2 linked regions of the Alligator mississippiensis genome follow. The protein of the gene in region 1 purifies or fractionates together with the protein of each later gene. This does not show direct contact. Links are inferred from orthologs where the notes say so. Each region holds a gene or a part of one and is shown on either strand. Other genes may lie near its edges.

Region 1 (11,294 bases):
GGTAGAGCCCTGCTCTGGTGCTGTACCTTGATGGTGGCAATGTGGAAAGGCGTGGCAATGCCGAACACGGGCATGATGACCGTCTCGTACTTCTTATCGATGTAGATCTTCATCTCCCGGATGTGTGGCTCTTTAGGCATGAGTGATGGGTTCTTGTAGGAGACGTTGGACTTGCGAGCCCTGTGTAGGGTGGGTGCGGGTGTCACACAGTCCCTTGGAACCTCCCAGAGCTCTTGGGGCCCTCCCCCCAAAAAATCATTCCTCCAACCAACCCTGCAGTACTTCAGGCCTTGTACAAACCTTGGCCAGCTCTTCTAAAACTCTTAAACACAAGAAACCAGGACCTGGAAATTTAGAAGCAGCTGAACCCAGCGACTCAGCCACCCCCTCCCCCTTACTGCATGTGCTGAAAGCATTGTTATCATATGCCACAAGTATCATGACTGCCCCCTGCTGCTCACTTCTGAATCTGCTGCTCGCCCTTCTGCTCTGTGAGCCGCCGCCGCGCCTCTTCGTTCAGCTGCGCAGCCAGCTCCTGCTGGTGGGCCCGGCGCTTCTCCTCTGCTGTCAGTTCATTCTGGGGGTGGGAGAATAGAAGCAGTGTGAGGCCCTGCCCCATGTCCAGGCCACCCCAGCTCTAGTACATAGCCCTGGCCTGGTCACCCCAGCCCCAGCCCCAAAATAAGCATGACTACCAGCCCCTGTCCCCCGACCCCCAGGGCCCCAAGGTTGGAACTGCACCCGCGTCCTCTCTGTTAGCAACGCTGCCCGTGAGCTGCGACCCAGTAAGTCTTCGGCCTCGTCCTTCTCCTCCTCTTCCTCGTCCTCATCCTCGTTCTGCAGGATACAAACATGCCGCTCAGAGCGCCGGCCTCCCCCAATGCCCCCCATGGGAGGAATGACACCAAGCAGTGCAAGTGATGGTGGCAGCCTGGGGCCAAGCAGCCTCCTTGCCTCAACCTTAGCCAGATCAGCTCTCCATGCCCCTGCTCTGTTCCTTTCCCACCACCCCGACCCTCAGATTTCATTTCTCTGCAACACTCCAGGCATGCTGCCCCGAAACTGGCCTGCTCACAGCGGCCAAGTCCTCCCTGACATGATCCCAAACCTTTTCCAGGGCCAGCCCTCCTGGCTCCCTGCCTGCCACCTTCCCCCACACCCTGTAACCCTTCAACAACCCTGGCCTCACCTTTAAAAAGATGCCGACATTTTTAACCTTCTTTTTAACAGCTGTGAGGATAGTGGCTGGTCCCTCCTGAGAAAGAGCAGAAAAGGGAAGATCAGTGCAACAAAGTGATGCAGCCTCTACCTCAACACATGCTCTCTCTATCCATCCTATGTTCACACCTCATCCACCAGCACGGTGTCTCCGATGAACAGCGCGTACGTCCGCTCCTCAGGCTTCTTCCCCTCTTTGTTGGTCAAGTCCGAGAAACCCAAGTTGATGCTGAAAACCATCCCTGTGAGACGCATGAGACAGAGTCACTAGATGGGGCTGGGACCACCAGAAAGTAAGACAGGACCCCACCAAGTCAGACAGCACCAGCCCTGGAGCTGCGTGGGCCTAGGACTCACCCTACTTTTGCGTGAAGGCTGGGGGTGGGAGGCGCTGTCCCTGATCCCAACAGGAGAAAAAAAGGGATGCGCAGGGACAGGGGCAGATGGACAGAGCCACCAGTCGCCCAAGGTAGGGGCTGGTCTGTCAAGGGGGCCTCTGCTCCTTCCTTATATACTGAGCTAGTGGCAAGACAAAGTTCAAGGAACCCCATGGCAGAGAGCATGCAAGTGGGGCCAGGGCCTCACAGGGTTTGGGTGAGGCAGGCTGGAAACCAGTAGTAGCAGCACATCCCCATGCAGTAGCAGAAAGAAGAGATTTGGACACAAAGGGGCCGACTTGGGTGCCTGCAACCTGCAGGCTTGAGTGGCACCCCTCCCGCAAAGCTGGGCACTACTTACCCTTCTTAAGCCGATGCTGGTTCTTGCTGTTGATGACAAGGGAGCCCTCGCGGAACTCGATGCCCATGGCAAACCTGGGCAGAGAGAGAGCGGAGCAGCCATGTCACCCATAGCCACCACTCACCCCAGTCCCAAAGCCCCAACACCAGGGCAACCCCCCCCTCTGTGCTCCAGGCTAGAAGGCGTGGCTGCCAGCGCCGTGGCAGGAGCCAGCTCCCTGCCCCAGCAGCCTTGAAGCCTGAGTGGGTGCCTCTAAACCCAGAGGTGGGCAGATACTGGGGGGGGGGGCGGGGGGCCTGAAGCAATCTCTTACCCCAGGTTCTTAGTGATCTTGCTCAGCAGCTCCGGTTTCTGCTTCTTTACCACGTCCATGATAGCCGCGTAGACGTCACATAGTTTCACACCTAGGGTGGCAAATCTGAGTGAGCACCACATGGGTGGTGGGCAGAGCCCTGATGCTCCTACCTCTACACCCCTAGCCCCCAGCCCAGCCAGCCCCATGCTGGGTACCCTCCCCCCAAGCTCACCATGCTGCATCTCCTTAAGCATCTCATCCTGCAATTGCAACAGGAAGGTGTAGTTGTCCTGCATGTCCTGAGGGGGGTCCACCATGAGGGTGCGAACCAGGTTGGAGCAATACGACTTATAGCGGATGCCCATGGCACAGGTAATGGCCCCAAAGTGCATATGGTTCTTATCGCTGTCAGGAAAACAAGGGTAAACAGAATGAATGCGTCAGGGTGGGGAGCAACTGTCAGAAGGTGTCTTTGGCAAGCACCATACAGAAAAGCAGCTGGGCTGGAACTCGGTAAGAGGCAGCAAGAGTAGCACAGACCCAGACAAACCCCACTACCTGGGTTGTAAGTGGGGAGGCCTCTCCCCTACCTCAACCAAAGATGACTGGGGGGCTCTGGGTAGAAGAACACTGGACTCTTTTTGTAGGAAAGAACTGCACCTGTGTGCATGATCGTGCAAATTTTGGGGGGGGAGCACAAGACACCAACCTGACCACACTAAACTTCAGGTTGTAGTTGCCACCACTCTGGATGATGGGAGGGTAGCACATCTCCACCGTGGAGGGATCAGCTCCTGATAAGTACTTTTTCTCTTCGATGGCTTTCTCCACCGACTCGGCCAACTTGCTGTGCCGTACTTTCTGCAGGATGGGGTAAGGTGTACAGAATCAGGGTGGCTACTGGGGCAAGTTGAAGCCTGGGCAACTGTGCAACCTGGCCCCCTCCCCGTCCCCCACCGACCTCGTCAGCATCCACAATCTCCATGACACGCTCCTTGAAGAACTTGTTGAACACCTCAGAGGTGATAGCAGCTGCCTTGCGCATTAGGTTGAGCTCCCCATCCTCCTTCACTGCAATGGTGTAGGCCACGACCGCACTGATGTCCACCTGCACCAGGGCGGGGAAGGCAGGGACGGTCACCAGGCCGTTACCAGTATCCAACCCCCTACCCCAATCTCCCACGTGGCTCAGCTACCCCAGCCCCGCAGACCTTCTCAAAGCCTTCCTTGCTGAGGCAGTCGCTCCAGCTCTTCATGAACTCGCCGGGGAACTTGTCTTTGCTGAAAATGCCGATACGCTTCCCCCCCTTGCTGCCCTTCAGCGCCTCCACCATCTTCTCAAAGTTTCCCTTGTTGCTCTCGTTCTGCCAGGGGGGGGGAAGGGCACATCAGCACCTGGGTACTGGGCCACATGCCCTGTTTTGTACCACGATCAACCCCTATCCTTATCCCTCTAGCACGTAAGAGACGTATCACTCATCAGCGATGCCAGAAGACAGAACAAAAGTACCAAAAAAAATTGCTGATATCTGGAAAAATAGTCTCTCGACAACAGAGCTACCTAAAAAGATCGCGGACTTGGTACCACAGGCTACATAAAGCATCATCTAGGATGACGTAATAGGGGCTCTTTTGAGCAAGGGAGTGAATTAGACGCGAGCTCCCAAGACCCCTTCCAGCCGTCGCTGTCCAGGATCACAACTTCCCCAGGCCGTCCCTATGCTGCAGAGACAGCACCGGGGCCCTTCCCTCCGCCCCCAGCCCCGGCCCAGCACCGCCCCCCTGTCACCTGGGCTAGAGGCACGGGGACCGGCTCCCCGGCGCCCGCGGGGCTCCTCGAGCACCAGCAAACCGAGGGAGCGACCGGTTGGGAACCGCACACACGCGGGGGGGGGGGAGGGGGACGCGCACAGCCTGCCCGGAGACACCCCCGGCCTCGACACCCACCTTCTCGCGCACGAGCAGCGTGAGCGCGGGGATGCTGTCGCCGCCCTTGCTGTTGGCCAGCTGCTTGAGGAACTCCACCTTCTTCTTGCTGGCCATGAACAGGATCTTGTCCTCGCAGAACACCATGATGGTGTCGGTCAGCTCGTAGCCGAACAGCCATGTCTGGGGGGGGGGGGCGGGTGGGGGAGGGGATGGGGGACACACACGGCGGGGTCAGGGCCCAGCTCGCCCGCCCACCCGCCCCGGCGGCCCCCCCTTCCCCTTCCTCTCCCCTCCCCCCGCCCGGGCTGACCTGCAGGGCCGTGGACTTGGCGTAGACAATCTCCTCGTCCACCCCCACGGACACCACGATGCCGTCTACGTCGCCGTACTCCTCCTCGCCCTTCTGCAACACGGGGGGGAGGGTCAGTGCTGCCGCTGCCCCTTGCCGCTGCCCCCCCCGCCCGCTCCCGCCGCCCGGCCCGCACCTGCCACTGCGCGTAGAGGCGGCGCACGCGGCGGTAGTAGGCCTCGCGGTCCAGGCTCAGCGCCATGGAGGCGGCTCCGCGCTCCAGGCTCCGCCGCGGCCCCTAGCCCGGAAGCGATTCCGTCCTGCCCCCCTACCCTGCGGGGGGAAAACGCGCGGCCCGGGACGCGCTTCCGCTTCCGGGGCCATGACCCCACCCCCCCGGCGTGCGCGCGCGCGTGAAGGAGCGGGTGCGTTCAGGCAGCCCCGCCCCTCCCTCTGCGCGCGCCAAGGTTTTCGCGGGGTTTTCGCACTCGTCGCCTCAGGGCGCACGCGCCGGACCGGGCCCCTACCCCACGTGACGCGGCGAGCGCGCCGAGCTGCCTACGCATGCGCGTTTAGCCCCTCCTCACCACGTGACGCGTCCCCTTCCAGCCTCCCCCTCCTCCGCGCAGTTCGTGGCACTAGCTGCTTCTACGCATGCGCCACGCATAAAAAAAAAAGAAAACCCATAGGAGGGGGGGGGGAAAGAGGGTGACCCCATTGGGGATGCATGACCTTTGCTCCACTGCAGTGGCTCCATGCCCCCAGGAGCAGGGCAAGGGGGTTGGGGCAAGTGCCCCCCCAGGACAGAGTGGCTCACGGCAGGGGATGGGGCAATACTGCCAGCTGCATTTTAACTCATTTTATTAGAAAAGAAAAGAATCCAACTACGGGAAGCTCTAATGCGGCCCAGCCCCCCCGCCCCGGCCCCCCGCCCCCGCCGTATCACACAAGACATATTACATATTTATATAAATAGAGCCCGGGAGGGGGGGAAAGGACAGCACCGGGCCCCGCGCCGCTGGGGGTGGGCTGAGGGCCCCGGGGGGAGCGGGCGCGGGGCGAGCCCCTTGGCCCACGCACAGAGGAACAGAGACAGAGGGCGAGAAGGCGGCGGCGGCGGGCGGGCGGGGGCAGCAGCAGGGGGCGGTGGAGATGGGGAGAGGGGGGTGCCGGCGGCCGCTGCTCATGCTGGGGGCAGGCGGGGCAGGCACGGCCAGGGCTGGAGGGGCACGTGCAGCTCGGGCCCTCCTTTGCCTGCACCCGGGGCCGCCCGCGGGGGCTGCAGCACCGTGCACGTGGAGCCGGCCGCAGCGCCCATCAGGGCCTGGGCAGCCCAGGAGTCCCGCTATCCTGTCTGTCCGTCCATCCGGCCCTTGGTCCTCCGCTCAGTCACCCTCCTCGTTGGCCCCGTCGCTGGAGTCCGAGTTGGCCGGCATCATGGGGTCGTCCAGCAGGGAGAAGTCCCGCTCGGAGCTGGCGTAGCCCTGAGACAAGTCGTCCATCTCGTCTTCGTCCTCGTCGTCGTCCTCATCTGGCTGCAGGTGGCCCGGGTGCCCCAGGTGCAGCGGGGGGCCGGGAGCATAGCTACCGTGGCCCAGCCCAGGGTGCAGTAGGGTGGCGGAGGAGGAGGCTGCGGGTGCGGGGAAGGGCGCGTAGGGCAGCGCGGTGCCTGGGGCAGGGCCAGGCTGGAAGTGGCTGTGCAGGGCCAGGGGCCCCATAGCCCCCAGTTGGCCCTGTGCTGCACCCCCCATCAGCGAAACCATCTTGGAGAGGTCCACGCCTGCCCGGCGGCCCCGTGCTTTCTGACCCCCCGCTGCAGCCATGGGGCCTGGCAGGAGGCGGTGCAACATGGAGTCGGGCATGTAGCCCTGCAAGAAAGGAGGGAGGGAGGATGATGGTTAGTGCTAGGACCTTCCTGCCCCAGCCTCCCCTGAGTTCCTAGGGGACCCCCATCCCTGTCCCGAGCTGCAACAACCACGATGCCAGCAAGGCCTGGCCATACCTGTGAAAAGGAGGGAGCCCTTCCCTACTCCACAACTGCCCCTTTCAAGTCACCCCACTGCAGCTGAAACAGAGGTAGGGAGGGCAGGAGGGGGCTTAGGGGTAGGGTGCAGTTGGCCTCTCACCTTCTTGGTGCCTGGGGTGTCGGGCATGAGCCCCCGCTCCAGCCCGGGAAGGCAGCTAGCTTCGGCCATGCCTGGCTTCCGGCACCGGTGCCACTTGTACTGCTTGCGGCGGTCCTCCATGTACTAGGGGCAGAGAGCAGGATGGCGGGTCAGTGGCCTTGCTGTTCTGCTGCCCACAGAGCCCACAGTGCCAGGTGCTGCCCATGTAGAGCAAAACTGCCTCCTCCTGCCCCCATCCACACCCAGGAGAACACAGGTCCTTCCAAGTCTGAGATCTAAGCAGCTTGGACAGCCCGAGAGGCAGCACTCACCCGCCCCAGGCACACAGATGGGGCCGCATGCACAAGCAAAGTGGGGGCACAGTGAGGGTCTGGAGGAGTGGGGGACAGGGTGCCCCACACAGGCCAAATAAGCGCGACACTCACAGCCAGGAAGCGGGGGTCAATGGCGAAGTCAGGGTGCGCCTGCAGCCAGGCCTCGAGGTCAGCACGGCGTGGCGCTGCCTCCCCAACCAGCACCGTCCCGTCTGTCTTGCGAACCACTGGGATCCGCGCCTCCAGGTCGATGTCAGGGCCCCGCAGACTCTCCAGGCACTGTAGCTCCAGCTGGGGCCGAGGGCAAGGGGAAAGAGTCTCCATCAGGAGACAGGGACAGACACCGAATGACCAACTCTTGCCGCCCCTCGGGGCGCTGCAGACCAGTGGCAACAGGGACAGCCCCTGGCAGAGACGTCCCTGCCCCCAGAGCACTCTCCCAGCAGCAACAACCCTTTGCACTCACCTCCACCAACTTCTTGCTGCTCTTCTTGTGGCCTTGTAGATGCTGCGGTGGCCCCTGCCCATGCCCATGTCCATGTCCGTGGCCATGGCCCTGACTGTGGGTGTGTGCATGGGCATGGGCATGGGCATGAGGCTGGGGTGGGGGCTGATGCCGCTCACGCATGGCGCCATTGGGGACAAGCCTGTGCTTCTGGAAGGTCAGCTTGATCCCCTCCTCCTGCGGGCCAGGGGTGGGAGTCAGAGCAGGTTCAATAGGGAACAGAAGCCAAAGCTTGACCCCTACCCCCGCCAACTTCCTCCCATGCCACAGGGCGCCTCAGCTCTTCGCGAAAAGAGTTGAACTCACCCCCCCACGCCAGAGCCAAGCTGCGGGCCCAGCTGGGGGTCGGTATTAGCATGGCGAGTCATCATGGGCACCTCCCTACCCCCTGCCCCACACACGTGTGCACCCCCTGCTCCCCTACTAACATCCTTGATCTGCACTGTGAACTCCTTCTCCTCGGGGCTGTGCCGCAGCCGTGTGTAGGACATGGGTGCCTCGTCAGGGGGGCCGACACGGGGGGCAGGAGGGCCGTAGTCCCCAGGCAGCCGGGCCATGCCCTCTCCTGGTCCCCTGCAGACCTCTGGTCCACGTGGCCCAGAGGGCCACTTCCCGGTCAGCACAGCCTGGCAGATCAAGTCGATGCGGCTAAGGAGAGCCCGGTCCTGGGGGGGGAAGATGGGGATGGTTAATGTAGACATGGCAAATATGCCCCCACCAACAAACCAGATTTATGTGGCCCCAGTTAGAGTAAGTGGGGGTCACCAGTGGACCCACGGCAACTTCCCTGCCGCTGCAGGCAGACATCCAAGGGGATGCAACCTGAGAAAGGGTTCAGCCATGCCAGGACCCCTGACCTTACCTTGGGCCAGTCGTGGGCGCGGTTCCGCTCCTGCAGCAGCAGCTCTGGGGCACTGGGCTGGGGTGAGTCACCCTCGCGGGAGGTGGGCAAGGACAGCAGCGACTCCTCCTCCTCGTACAGCTTCCCTCCACAGGATGGCTCTGTGCCTGGCATGGGGACAGGGACAGGGACAGGGCAGGGGTGAGCAGAGGCAGCAGCCCCACCCTTAGCCCCAGGCAGCTCCCAGGACAGAGAAGGGCAACCTAGGGGGAACACAGAGGAGGGCAAAGCAGCAGCTCCCTCCCCCAATAAGCTATTGCTATTAAAGCTGGGGTTAGGGTGGGGGCACCCCCAGTCTAGCCCCTGCTCAGCGATGTGTTGCTCTTGTCAGAGCTACTCCAAAAGGCAGCAGGACATGGGGGCATGTCTAAAAGGACCCTTGCAGCTCCGACACCCCAGCCCAGCCCGTTCTTACCCCTCACGCATCTGTGATTCAGTTGGTCTGTAACAGGGGTGGCCGGGCACAAGAGGCACGGGCAGCCCACGTGCACGCATGGAGCAGGTGGGGGAAGGGGCAGGAACAAGAGCAGCAGATGGGGAAGGAAGCGGAAAGCAGAGCAGCAAATCAGGCCGGGAAAGGGGGCAGAGGGACACTTGAGGGAAGTGCAGAGCTTGGGGCACGTGCCTGTCAAATGCCTTCTAGGCCCACTGCCTGCCTTCAAACTAGCACAGCTAACCCTTTCTCCCAGAACGCCCGGACCTGCTGCAGGCAGAGCTGTCCCTAGAGGTGTGTGGGACCCAGGGCATATCAGCCTGTGCAGGGCCCGGGGGGGGGTTGTGGGGAGCAGTCGAAGCCAGCAGCACTCGGCGGCAGTGGCACCAACCGCAGGACCCCCCCAAAGTGCAGGGCCCAGGGTGGTCGCCTCCCCCCAGGGGAGACCCTGGCTGCAGGTAAAGCGGGGGGCCCAAGGGCACTGCCCACATCCTGCCCGTGCAAAGCTTAAACACGTGCTCGAGAGACCCTAGGCAGAGGCCGTGCTCCCTGCCACAGAAAGAGGTAAAATTTCCCACCTGCCCCAGTCCATGCCCATCTGAGCAGGGACACACACACACGCACGGACGGACTCCTTCCTGACCCCAATACAGCACTGAGCTGACCCCGAGTGGAGAAGCAAGACCCTCTAGGTAGCACCCTCTGGGTGCGAGCCTCACACCCCAGTGATGGTCCCCACCTTAGGCTGCAGCCAAGACCCAATGCTGCCGAGGAAGGCAAAAAACCCGATACCCGTAACAACAGGATGAGGGGAGGGAGATGGACTCTCCACGGGGCAGCCAGCAAAGCCCAGAAGCCTGGGGAACACCAGACACCGCCACTCTGCCCTGCGCAAGAAAGGCTCCCCCCAACCCCAGCACAGCCTGAATAGGGGCACTCACCCCGCTCATCCTCGCTGTCGTCGGAGCAGGATGAGGAGGAGCCGGACGAGGAGGGCGAGAGCTTGCCCAGGTCGAGCTCTGAATCCGAGTCGTCGGCCGAGTCTGGTTTGGGGGGCACAGAGGGCGGGAGCGGGGCAGGTGGCAGCGTGGCCGGTGGCTCTGGGGCGGGGGGCAGCGGGGCAAGGCCAACCCCAGGGGGCTGCGGCGTGCCAGCATGGCCATGCAGGTAGCTGAGGCGGGCGGCCAGGAAGGAGAAGTCTGGGTCCTGCATGATGGCGGCGTCGGCCTGGCCCAGGCCATGGCGTGCAGCCCCCCGCAGCAGCTCGCCATCGTGGCGGCCGCACTCCCACCAGGCGGGCAGGGCCAAGCCTGGGGGTGGGCACAGCGCCAAGCGCTCCTGCAGCAGCGGGTGGCACAGCACCTGCTCCCGCAGCCGGCGCAGGAGGTCCACGCGGTACAGGGTGCGCGACGCCCGCTCCTCTGAGATTGGTTCGATGAACAGCGTTGGGTCTGGGGACTCTGCGGGGCAGGCGTGTGGTGAGTGTAGGTCCCCACAGACTTGGTGCCCCTGCACCCCCCCCCCCCCCCCACCAATACGAGCACAGCCCTGCAACCCCATGGACCTGCCCCCGCCCCATGATTGTGCCCCCTAGATCTGCTCCCCATCAGAGCTTGGCCCTTGGGCCCCACAGACCTGCCCCGTGCCCCCCAACCCCTCTAATAAAGACCATGTTCTGGGGTACCTACCAGAAAATACGGTGTCACTAGTTCCCTCCCCACATGCCCCTGCTCCCTTGGGCAGGCCCCTGGGAAAGATGCTTCCAAGGGAGAAGAGGGACCCATGCCAACCACCATGAGCCCTGCGGCTTTCCCCTGCAAGGGACTCAGGTGAGGGGACCAACGTGGCCACCTGCCCAGCACTGGCAGCTGGGGCAGCAGAAGCAGGCCAGGCAGGCAACACCAACACATACACACTCACCGTCGCCAGCAGCGGGTGGCAGGCGGCAGACCTGGCGGCACATGGCCACGAAGCCGTGGTAGTACTTGGTGAGGCTCTCGTCTGTCTTACGGTCCAGCCGGGCCAGGGCACGGAAGCGGCCCCAGTGGAAGCGCAGCGTGTCAGGGTCGTACTCCACGCCGAAGCTCGACACCACCCGGTAGAAGTCCGACTGCTCCCGCCGCGTCCACCTGTTCAAGCAGGGGGGTGGGGGTAGTCAGAGGCTCATATTCCCACAGGCAGGCAGGTGCGTGGGCCCCGTTCTCCCCAGTGGTGCTCCCCTCCATGCCCATGCCCCAGACTCACCGCTGCTGCTTCTCGCGGCGCACCATCTCCTTGAGCTTGCAGGCAGCCTCGCAGCGCCGGCGCCGCCGATCACCCCTCTCAGCCGCCTCCATCTTCAGCTGCTCCTGCTTGTAGCTGCGCTGGTAGGCGGTGATCAGGCGCCGCAGGCGGGCGGTGAGCGCCGAGCCTGGTGGCCAAAACAAATGCCCTGGCTGGGCTGGCTGGCCTGGGGACAAGAGGCAAGAGTCAAAGCCTGGAGCAGGAGAACCGTTCCCAGGCTTGTTGCCCCTCAAGTCACCCTCCTGTGTCTGCTGCTGGGGAAG
Region 2 (11,225 bases), on another chromosome or scaffold:
CAGACTACTTGGGGAACCGGCCTGGATCCCCAGTGGGTAGGGAGCTACGTCTGGGATAGGGAGAGATGGGAGGGGCCTAAGTGGCCCTCGTCCAAGGCTGGGACCATGGCGTGATGGCAGCATGGGACCAGGGCCCTGGGCAGAGCTGTAACCTGCTCCCTGAATGCCCCTGCTTATGGAAGTGGTGTTAGTCGCAGGGATGTGCGTGCACCAGCCCCATCTGTTCTGCTCCTGGACTCTGGTCCCTACCTGCAGCTCCATTCCATGTGCCTGGCTGAATGTGCCCTGGCTGTGGGGGTTCTGGGCTGCTCTCCATGGAGATCCCACCTTCCCCCTCTATCTGGCACCGCTGGCAGTGGATGCAGAGTGGATAGGCTGGGATGTCCAGGCAGTGGGGCCAGGTCTGGTGGCAGCAGTGTCACTAGCAGCTGGAAGGAGCCACTGCTGGGAAGTAGAATCTGGCTGCCGTGCTGCCCTAGCTCTGTTGGGTGTCTTGGGGTAGTGGCACTGGCCACTCGTACCACAGCTCAGGTTGCCCACCAAAGGCTGGGCTGAACAGGGCTGAGGGATCTGCTGTGAGTCAGGTAAAACTTCTTGGCAGGCTGGATCTCGCCTGTGGGCAAAATGCTGCCTACCCCTGAGCTATGGGGAGGTGGTAGTGGGGCCAAGGGAAGGGGGCAGGACTATAGGGTGGGGGGGGCAGGGGCTGGTATTCAGAGAGAGCACAGAGCTATGGGGAAGAGGTGGAGTCAGGATTGGAGGGGGCAGGGCTTATGGGGGGTGCACAGAGGAAGGCTGGGGGCATGGCCTCTGCCCATCACCCCCCCTCCCCCACAGAAGGTGCGCCTGGCCCGGATCCGGCTGGCCAAGAGCGGGACGACCAAAGCCTTCCTGCAGTACAAGCATAGCAACGACCTCGAGGTGTGCATGGCTTTGCATGGTGCTGGGACCCTGTTATGCAGACTTTGCCCAGGGAATGGGACCTCTTGGATTGGGAACTGGGGCCCTGGCATGGGGAATGGGGATCCCTTGCACAGCCTCGCACGAGGGAAATGGGGCTCCTCACAGAGGCTTGCACATGACTGTGGGATCCCTTTGCACGGGGAACAGTTCTTTGCACAGCCTCACATAGGGAACGGGGCTCCTTGCACAAGCCTCACACAGGAAAACAGGATCCCTTGCACACCCCTTGCACCAGCACCCCAGTCCCTCCTCCCACTTCTACCTTATGGGGGGTATCCATCTGTCCGTCCTCTTCCCCACCCCCAGGAGCTGGACGGCCACCCCCAGGCCCCTGGGCTACGGACCTGTTCGGCTTTCGAGTTGCAGCACCATCACCTGCTTCACTGCCTGGAGAAAACCACGGTGAGCTAGGAAGTGGGCACTGGAAGGTTAAAAGTGGGGACTGGGAGTCTAGTGGTGGGGACTGGGAAGGTACTGGGAGGCCAGTGGGGATACTGTGATGGACTGGGAGGCTAGTGGGGGGCAATGTAAGCTTGCCATGGTGGGGGAGCTTTTGGGGGCAGGGTCTGTGGGGCTATGGCTCGTCCTGGAGGCCCTGCCTGCTCTGGCCTCCCCCACCCCTCACAACCTGGATGCTCAGTAGCAGCAGGTCCTAGGTAAGGTTGCCAACCCTCCCAGATTGGCTGGGAGTCTAGCAGAATCAGCATCAATTTCCTGGTGATTATTGACAGCAGTCTGGGAGATCTGATATTGCAAAGGGGTTGAACAGTACAATTAATGACATGACATCATGTTGGGGGGGGGAAAATCTCCTGGAATAGCTTTGGTCAGAGTTGGCAACCCTAGTCCTAGGTGGGAGTGAGGGTCAGTATGGTCAGGGCTTGCCCTAGAAATGATACCCCTCCTTTCCCTGCCCTGCCCCCTTCTTCTGACCCCACCCCAGAACCATGAGTTTGCAGCAGAGCGGGGGGTGTCGCCAGGGGCACGGTCAGGGAGGAGCCTGTCGCTGTCCTCGAGTGGGGCCCCATCTCCGGGTGGATCCTGTTGCCCCCGGCGACCACGCCACCGCCCCCTCCGCCTTGGTTCCACCCCATCAGGCAGCCGGGCCATTGCCCAGGAGCTCAGCACCCTGCAGGGCCTCAAGGGGCCAGCTCACAGGTACTGCATGTGCTTGGACTATTCACAGGGTGTGCTTGGCATATTCGCGGTGTGTTTGGTGTGTTCTTGGGGTATGCCATGGTATGGCTGGTGTGTTCCCAACATGTTTGTGGCATGGGCTTGGTGTGTTCTCTCAGTGCACCTGGCATTGGGGTTAGCATGTTTCTAGCATGCTCATGGCATGTTCCCAGCGTGTGGTTGGCATATTCATGGTGTGTTCATGGCATGTGTGCAGCATGCTTGCAGTGTGGGTTTGGCATGTTCCTGGCATGCTCATGGTGTACTTGCACCAGCAGGTGGCATATTTAGAGTATGGACTTGGTGTGGGCTTGGCATGTTTCCAGTGTGGGGCCTAGTTTTTTTCCCTGCATGTGCTTGATGACTTTCTGGTATGTGCTTGGGATGCTCAAGTGTTCCTGGTTCCAGGTGTGAGCACAGCCTATTTTCTTGCATGTGCTCTATGTATTTCGTGTGTTTGTACCATGTTCACAGCACATGCTTACCATGATCCCAAAATGTTTTTGGTGTGCAGTTGATGTGTGCATGGCACTGGCTCAACATGGGTCTGGCATGTTCTCAGTTTTGTGTCCTGTGTTCCGGGCACTTCTGTGGCATGTACTTCATGTATATACTGCATGGCTCAGGCGTGTTTGCAGCCTATGTCTATCAGTTTTGTGTTGGGAAACACTGGGTTCTGCTGCCATCCAGTGGGCAGCCATTGAAACTTTGGGGGAGGGTGGAGCTGGGAGCCCAGACGCTTGGGTTCATGCCCCCCACCCCTCCCTCTAGCCGGTCCAGCCTGAATGCGACACCAGCACCGGATACCCTGAAGCTGAGCTACGAGGCAGCAGCACTGGCAGCAGCCATCATCAGCATCCCCACACCCCCTGCCAACACCCCTGATGAGAGCCCCCCCCCGGCACCCCGGCCCCCTCCCCTGCACATCTCTTCCCTCTGAGGGGAGTCCCTGAACACCTGGGTTCTTTGCGTCAAGACACCTGGGTTCCATTGGCCTGGATTCCACCTATCCTGGACACCTGGGTTCTTCACATCCTGGATGCCCAGGCCCTACCCAACCCAACCCAGATGCCTGGGTTCCATCTATCCCAGCCGCCTGGGTTCTGCTGGTCCCGGATGCCTAGGTTCTGCCCGTCCCAGGTGTCTGTATTCTGCCCAGCCTGGACCCTGTTCTGCCTAGCCCAGATGTCTTGGTTCTTCATGTCCCAGATGCCTGGGTTCCGTCCGTCCCAGATGCCTGTATTCTACCCAGTCCAGATGCCTTAGTTCTGCCTTCCTGGATGCCACGGTCCTGTCTTCTCCAGACACCTGGGATCCTCCTGTCCTGGACACTTGAGTTCTTCCTGTTCCAGAAGCCAGAGTCCCTGGACACATGGGTTCGTCCTGCTTAGGGGCATGTCCTGTACCAAATGCCTGTGCTTGTATCCCAAATGCCTCAGTTCTTCGTGTCCTGGATACCTGGAATCCCACCTGCTTAGGAGCATAGCCTGTACCAAACACCTGTGTTCTTCTTGCCTCGGACACCTGGATCCCTCCAGCTTGGGGTGCCTGAGTTCTTCCTCTCCTGGATGCCTGGGTTCCTCCCAGCCAGGGAGCAGCTTTACCCAGACATCTGGGTTCTTCTTGTGTGGGGCAGGCAGGAGGTGTGTGCTGCAACCTTAACCCAGATGTCTGAGTTCCCATGGGTCTGGAAAGGAAAGGCAGGGGGAGGGGCATGGCCCTCTGCCTCACCTGCTACTCTTTAGACCAGCCCCCTTCACAAGCAAAGCCATATATCAGGGTCAGCTATGCAAGCCTGGGGAGGGAGGAACTATTTCCCAAGGCGCAAGGACATGGGCCACTCCTGGAACTCATTAACCAAAAGCCATGGGAGCCTGGGGGGAGAAGGGGCCTGGTGCCTGGGTTCTGTCACCAGCTATGGGAACCTGCAATGCCTGGATACTCTCCTTCAGGATACCTGGGTCCTTCTTCAGGCCCCCCCACACCTGCACACATCATGGTGCCCCCATCTACTATGCTCACAGCAGGACTGTGCATGTGTCCATGTTGCCACCAGGGGGGTGCTTCCTTCCCAGCATGCACTAGGGGGAGAACCCCACCCCCTACCCCCCATATCCACCTCACCTCACAGGTCATCCTTCTCCTAGGGGTCATGACTCCTCCAGAGACCAGAAGCTGAGCTCAGACCATAAACCGTGACCCCTCCCCCTACTAGTGCAACAGCAGGGGAGGGCAGAGGCCTGAATGCCTGGGTTCCCTTCCCCAGGTTTCCTGGGGCATGGGGGTCTAGGGGCCCAGATGCCTAGGTTCTAGCCTGGCTTAGGGAGGAGTTGGGGCAAGGGTGGGAGGGCTGAGGCCCCAGACACCTGTGTCAAGCCCAGACTGGCTGTGGTAGGGTAGGGGGCAGCACCAATGGAGGGGAGGGACTGGGACCCTGCCCCCTTCTCAAAATACTCTATAGCACAATGCAGCTGCCTCCGTGGCCACTGGGGGTGGGCAGAGATTCTGCCCCCACCTGCACCCCTGTCTGGAATCTGTCCTCAGGCTGGCTGGGAGCTGGAGGCCCAAGGGAGGGGCCTCCTGGAGCCAGAGAGGCCTGGACACCTGGGTCCTTTCTAGACTCGGAAGCCCGGGTTGTTTTTGTTTTTTTTTTTGAGTCAGAGGAACCTGGAGGCCTGGGCTCTCTGCCCACTCTGGAAGTGGGGCGGGGGCGCTACAAGCCTGGAGACCTGGGCTCTTTCCCTGCTCAGGAAGGGGAGTCCAACAGGAGGCGCCTCCCTCCTGTATGCTTGGGTCCTGTCGCCAGCTCTGACAATGTAAGTTCAACTCAGGTTCCCCTTCGGTTTTTTTTTCCTGTTAGACATTTAAAAAATAAGAAAATTCTATACATATAGAGACAGGTATTATATACAGATACATAAAAGCCTGGCTCAGGGAGGGGTGGGGCAACGGATCATTAACACCTCCATGCCTGGAGCTGGGGGTGGGGTCAGGATGGGGGGGTGCCTTCCCTGCCCGTTGCCAAGGAATGAGGCTTATGCTGCTGTAGTTTGAGCAAATAAATGAACTGGTGACATGTCACAGCTCAGTCATTATTTGCAGGGCAGGGGGTGGGACCTGGGACGCCTGGGTTCTCTGGCAGGGGAGTTGGAGCGGGTAAGAAGTGAAGAAAAGGGGCAGGGCCTGCTTCTAAGTGACAGCCGTCTGATCCAATCAGGGGGCCAATATGCTCCCCACCTCACCCCCGCGAATACAAACCCCACATCCCTGCGCGCTCGTCTTGAAGCCCGGGCATTGTGTGTCTGATTGGCAATTTGCTCCCATCCAGTCAGATGAGGACTTGCCCTCTGGTCCAATCAGAGCGCAGAATGTTCTTGTCCAACGAATCATAAACCGGTGTTCTGCCCCTCAGTTAATCGCGTCCAGGTTTCTTTCCCTAGCTAATCAGCTGCGAGCATCTTGTTTCCAACCCTCCCTCACATGCGAGGCGGAATTTCCCTTAAACCCATTCAAGCCAATCAGTGATTACGCTTGTTTCCCCCTGGCTAATCAGGGCCTAAGCGTCCCTCCAGCCAACCGGAGGTTAGTCCCCCTTTTTCCCAAGCCAATAAGATTTGGCTCTTCTGCCTCTCAGCCAATCACATGCATGTCCGGGGCCTTTTAGCTAATGAGCATAGGCGACCTTACGCCGTGACCAATCAGTGAGCGCATGTCAAGGAGGGTCACCCAAGTCCCGCCGACCCCGGTTGTTGTCATGGGAAGTGGGAGGGGGAACGAGAGGATAGGGGGAGGGACACGGCTCTGACTGTGGCGCTCTCCCCCCAATCCCAAACGCGTTCCTCCAAGCCCATCGACCAATGACAGCGGAGCTGTGGGCCGGTAGCCAATAAGCGGTGGCGCTGTTACCCAGGCGCGTCGGGGTCTCGTCCCTTTTGACGTTCCGTTGCTAAGGGGCGTAGGGGCGGAAGTGAACGCGCCGGGGTCAGAGGCCGGTTGTGTTGATGTTGACACTAGGCCGGGGCCGAGCGCAAAGGGCCCGCCGCGGAAGCCGGGAAGGGCCAAAAACCTTCCATAGACCCCAGGAACGGGGGAGGGTTGCGGGGAGGGGGCGTTGGTTGCTTGCTTGCTTGCTGCCTTCCTTATCGGTCTGCTTTAGGCTAATTGCCCTGCTGTCTTGCACCCCCCCCCGGGCCGCCGCGGGGGTTGGGGAATACGACGGAGACTGGGGTCTCGGGGAGCGCTTCCCCCCCTTATCCAGTTCTGCGCCCCTCCCCCTCCTTGGGGAGGGAGGCGTTCCTTAGCCCTTTCAGCCGGATCCCCCAGGGGGGTGCCCCCTTAGCCTCGTACATCCGGGTTCTGCTCCCCCCTTAGCCCCTGACATCAGGGGACCCCCCCCTTAGCCCCCTCCATCCGGGTCTCTCGGCCCCCGAGCTCTGAGTCCTTCCCTTCTCTAGTCACCCCCTGACATCCGGGGATCTCCCCTTAGCCCCTGACATCCGGGTCCTTCCGCTCCGCTCACCTCTGGCATCCGGGGATCCCCCCTTAGCCCCCTACATCCGGGTCTCCCCCCCATTAACCCCTTCTCCCGGCTCCCCTTAGCTTTTCCATCCGGGTCCTTGCCCCCCTGTAGCCCTTAGCCCCCTACATCCGGGTCCTCCCCCCCCTCCCCCACCCCACCCCCCTTCCCAGCCCAGCGGCGGCAGCGGGCGGGCCATGACGATCCTCCCCAAGAAGAAGCCGGGGGGCGACGCCGACCCTCCAGGCTCCCGCGTGGGGGGGGCAGGAGACCCCCGCGTTGGGGGGCCCCCCAGCCCGGACCCCCGCGTGGGGGCGGGAGGGGGAGCGGCAGGCAGCTCCGGGGTGGGGGGGGGCAGTGACCCCCGGCCGGGAGGGAGCCCGGACCCCCGCGTGGGCTCGGCAGGGGGCGGGGCCTCCCCTCCCCCCCCAGCCCCTCCCCCGCCCCGCTGCTGGGGGGCACCGTCCCCTCCCCCCACCACCGGCGCCCCCGAGGCCAAGGCCGGGTTGGGTCTGGATGACCCCCGGGCGGGCGGCGGAGGCGTGGGGGGCGGATGCTGCGCGGGGCCCGGCCACAGTAAGAGGCGGCGGCGGGGGGGCTTGGGCTTGGCTTACGGGCCCGGCGGCGCCTCCGGGGGGGGATCTGGGCCAGCAGGGCTGGGCCTGGGCCTGGGGCTAGGGTTAGGGCTAGGGCTGGGGGCCGGCGATGGGGATGAGGCAGGCGGCGGCTACAACAGTGAGGACGAGTACGACCCTCCCCGCGGCGGGGGGGGGGCCGGGGGCGGCCCCCCAGGGGACAGCGGGGATCCAGCTGCGGCTGAGCAGGTGGGTAGGGGGGTCTGTGGGGGTGTGGAGGGAGGTGAACCCCTGTGGGGAAGGGAGATGTGCGGGGGTCTGGGGAGGGGAGAGATGGGGGGGGTCTCTGGTGTGAGGGGGTTCGCCTGTATGATTTGGGGTGTGGGAGGAGAGAAATGGAGGTTGTGATGTGTGGAAAGGGGAGAGATTGGGGGGGCACCCACTTCCCCATATGATGAGTGGGGCTGTGATCTGTGGGAGGGGGGCATCAGGTGAGGGGAAAGATTGGGGGGGGGGGTCTCTGGAGTAAAGGGACCCCCTGTGTACTGTCAGGGAAGGGGGTCTGTGGTGGGGGAGGGGAGAGATTGGGTGATCTCTGGGGTAGGGAAGGCCCTATGTGATTTGGGGGAGGGCTGTGATGTGGGGGGAAAGGGGAGATATTTGGGGGGCTCGGGTGAGAACAGTCCCCTGCCCCCATGTGATTTGGGAGAAGCTGTGATCTGGGGGAGGGGGGTTTCCAGTGAAGGGAACACCCCATGTACAATATGGGGGAATGGAGGGTTCTTGGACTGGGGCAGGGAAGAGATTGAGGGAAACTCTGGGGGAGGGGACCCCATATTCCTCCATGTGATATTGCAGGGGCTGTGTTGGGGTGGGGGGTTGTCTCTGGGGGAAGGGGAGGCATGGGGGGGGTCTCTGGGTTGGCTGGGACCCCTGTGTGGTGTGGGGGAGGGGAGGAGAGGGTAGGGGGGCGGTCTCTGGGGTTAGGGGGCAACTCCAGTGTGAGAGGACCCTGCCCCTGTATGATCTTGGGGTGGGGGGAGAGGGGAGGAGTGGGGGCCCCTGTGTGACCTGGAGGAAAAAGGAGGGGTCTCTGGGGTGAAGTAGCCCCTGTGTGATCTGGGAGGAGCAGAGATGGAGGAGGGGCAGCTGAGGTATAGCTGCCCCCCATGCCTGGGTTCTGTGTGAATGTTGATGCTGGACACCTGGGTTCTGAGACTGGGGGTGCCTGGACACCAGGGTTTCATGCGTGTGCCAGGGTTAGGGAGGAGCCCCTGGGTTCAGTGTCTATGCAGGTGGGGGTGCTGGATGCTGGGTATCTGCATTGGTGTTGATGCTGGACAAAGGGAGGTGGGCCCCAGACTCTGGACTCCCTGTGTGCTTGAGTCTCTCACTGGGACCCTGGTGGGGTATATGGGGGTGTGAGCCACAGAAGGGAAGAGCTTGGCAGCCTTGTGGGGGTGGTGTCCAGGGGGCAGGTCTTGGGGCTTGGCCAGTTGCTGACTCCACCCTTCTTGCCTCCAGCAGGAGCACAGGTTTGAGAAGGCATTGAGAGAAAAGAAAGGCTTCATTATCAAGCAGATGAAGGAAGATGGGGCCTGTCTCTTCCGGGCTGTGGGTGAGTGGCTTCTACCCTGCATCTGCACCCCAGGCCCTTATCTGCTTCCCCCTGTCCGACCCCCTGGCAGAGTTGTGGGGCTAGAAACCAAGCAGTGTTATACTTAGCTATTTCTCAACTGCCCAACCCCAGAGCTGGGCACATATCACCTTCCTTGTGTCCTTTTATATGCAGCCATTTCTAAACTGCTTCACACCAGAATTGGGTGCATCTTGGCCCTCCCTCTATGGTGTTTGACCCCAGGGGTGGCTGCATCTTGCCCTCCTTGTGTCCTGCTCTACCCAGGAGTTAGGCACATCTGGGCTCTTCCTTCATAGTATTATACTCTGTTGTTCCCCAGCCTTACATGTTAAAGGTGGATGCATCTTGCCTTTTTTGTGCACTGTTCTGCTGTTCTGGTTATCCCTGACCTGCCCCACCCCAGAGCTGGGTGAATCTCAGCCTTCTCTCTCTTGCATTATACTCAGCCACTCTGCCCCAGAGCTAGGCACCCTCCCTCTGTGGTGTTACACTCTGTTGTTCTACCCGGAGTTAGGTGCATCTTTCCCTCTTTGTGCCATATTAGACTTGGCTGTTCCTAACCTGCCCTACCTCAGAACTGGACATATCTCAACCCTCCCCTTATAGTGTTATACTCAGCTGTTTCCCAGCTGGCCCACCTCATAACTGGCTGCATCTGGGCCTCCCCTTCACAGTGTTATACTCAGCCATTCCACCCTAGAGCTGGGTGCATCTCAGCCCTCCCTCTATGACATTACACTTTGCTGTTCCTTATCTGTTCCTCCCCAGAGCTAGATGCGTGTCATCCCTCTCTGTAGTGTTATACTCAGATGTTTTCCAGGTGCTATAACCTAGAGCTGGATGCATCTTAGCCCCCACTTCATACTGTTATACTTGACTGTTCCTCAGCCATTCCAGCCCAGAGCTGGGTCCATTTCAGCCTTCCCATTATAGCAGGGGTGGGCAATTATTTTGGGCAGAGGGCTGCTTACTGAGTTTTAGCAAGCCATCGAGGACCACATGACAGGCAGCCAGGGGTAGATAAATATTAATTTTCCAAATTTTTAAGGGCCCCGCGGGCCAGATAGAATGGCCTGTCAGGCTGCATTTTGCCCACCCCTGCATTATAGTGTTATACTCAGCTGTTCCCTAGTCAGAGCTCCCCAGAGCTGGGCGCATCTCTCCTTTCTTTTGCCCTGTTACATTCAGCTGTTCCTAACCTGCCCTGCCCCAGGGCTGGCTGAATCTCACCCTCCTTGTGCCCTGTTATGCTTGGCCATTCCTCACCTGCTTCACCCCAGAGCTGGGTGCATCTTGGACCTTCTCTGATTCAGCAGATCCCTTCCCCTTTGACTCAGCAGATTCCCTCACTCTGTGCTGGTGCATCAGCAAATTCCTCTCTGACTTAGCAGCAGGGAAGAGAGGAGTGTGCGCTCAGAGGCAGGCCAAGAGGACCCAGGTGTCTGGGTTCCTATGATCCAACCCACCAGCCACCATTCCCCTCCCAGAGAACCCAGGTGTCCAGGTTCCCAGCTGCCATCCACCAACCACCCTCTTACTTCCCTGCCCAGAGCAGGGAGAGGACCCAGGTATATGGGCTATCAGTCAGGCCCCATGTCAGCATTCTAGTGAGCAATGCCCTCCCTTGGAGGGATGCCTTTGGGCCCTATCTCATGATCCTTTGCTTCTTCTCCTTCCCCGCCACTTCAGCCGACCAGGTATATGGTGACCAGGACATGCATGAGGTGGTCCGGAAACACTGCATGGACTACTTGGTGAGTGGTGGTAGGGCCCAGACACCTGGGTTCTCTGAGGGATGGGGAGGACCTGGGGGTGAGAGCAAAGGGTGTGTGTAGCCAGGACTCCTGGGTTCTCTGGCGGGGCAGTAGGGCTGGGATGTGAGAGCAGGGGGGGGGTTGGGAGCCTGGACTCCTGAGTTCCATCCTGATGCTGGGGGTGGGGAATGGAGGCCTGTTGCATTAGAGCAGGGTGGATCTGGACACCTGGGTTTTTTTCCCAGCTCTAGGGAAGCCAGTTAGGATTATATAACCAGGGATGGGCAGCCCAGACACGTGGGTTCTCCAGCAGGGGAGTGGGGGCTGGGGGGTGAGAGCAGGGGGGCTGGCAGCCCAGATGCCTAGGTTCTCTCCCTCCCCTGGCAAGGGGAAAAACCCACCTGTGCCTCAAATTGGAGCCCAGCTTCCCCCTCCACCCCTCCTAACTGCCCCCCCACCCCCTAACTGCCCCCAGATGAAGAATGCTGACTACTTCTCTAACTACGTGACTGAGGATTTCACCACCTACATCAACCGCAAGCGGAAAAGCAATTGCCATGGCAACCACATTGAGATGCAGGCCATGGCTGAGATGTACAACC

The links.
Region 2: the proteins of SUPT16H (region 1) and OTUD5 purify together in Homo sapiens (affinity purification with mass spectrometry; 3 studies listed by BioGRID, with this or other methods). This does not show direct contact. The link is inferred for Alligator mississippiensis from reciprocal best matches to the Homo sapiens genes SUPT16H and OTUD5.

Annotation. Positions count from the first base shown.
Region 1 is NC_081830.1:3,856,652-3,867,945, forward strand, and holds the start of SUPT16H (FACT complex subunit SPT16), read right to left. Parts: upstream 4,815-11,294; 5' UTR 4,732-4,814; coding exon 4,666-4,731; intron 4,584-4,665; coding exon 4,491-4,583; intron 4,361-4,490; coding exon 4,199-4,360; intron 3,616-4,198; coding exon 3,463-3,615; intron 3,360-3,462; coding exon 3,213-3,359; intron 3,113-3,212; coding exon 2,961-3,112; intron 2,657-2,960; coding exon 2,484-2,656; intron 2,361-2,483; coding exon 2,270-2,360; intron 2,031-2,269; coding exon 1,957-2,030; intron 1,461-1,956; coding exon 1,348-1,460; intron 1,256-1,347; coding exon 1,190-1,255; intron 838-1,189; coding exon 742-837; intron 578-741; coding exon 462-577; intron 181-461; coding exon 27-180; intron 1-26. Other genes in the region: CHD8 (chromodomain-helicase-DNA-binding protein 8), read right to left, coding at 5,855-6,337, 6,596-6,718, 7,021-7,200, 7,376-7,591, 7,843-8,079, 8,277-8,422, 8,731-8,757, 9,690-10,208 and 2 more. UniProt on the Homo sapiens protein: Component of the FACT complex, a general chromatin factor that acts to reorganize nucleosomes. The FACT complex is involved in multiple processes that require DNA as a template such as mRNA elongation, DNA replication and DNA repair.
Region 2 is NC_081831.1:28,451,040-28,462,264, reverse strand, and holds the start of OTUD5 (OTU domain-containing protein 5), read left to right. Parts: upstream 1-6,128; 5' UTR 6,129-6,852; coding exon 6,853-7,479; intron 7,480-8,754; coding exon 8,755-8,848; intron 8,849-10,558; coding exon 10,559-10,623; intron 10,624-11,098; coding exon 11,099-11,225. Other genes in the region: KCND1 (potassium voltage-gated channel subfamily D member 1), read left to right, coding at 838-921, 1,270-1,365, 1,907-2,121, 2,911-3,079. UniProt on the Homo sapiens protein: Deubiquitinating enzyme that functions as a negative regulator of the innate immune system. Has peptidase activity towards 'Lys-48'- and 'Lys-63'-linked polyubiquitin chains. Can also cleave 'Lys-11'-linked ubiquitin chains (in vitro).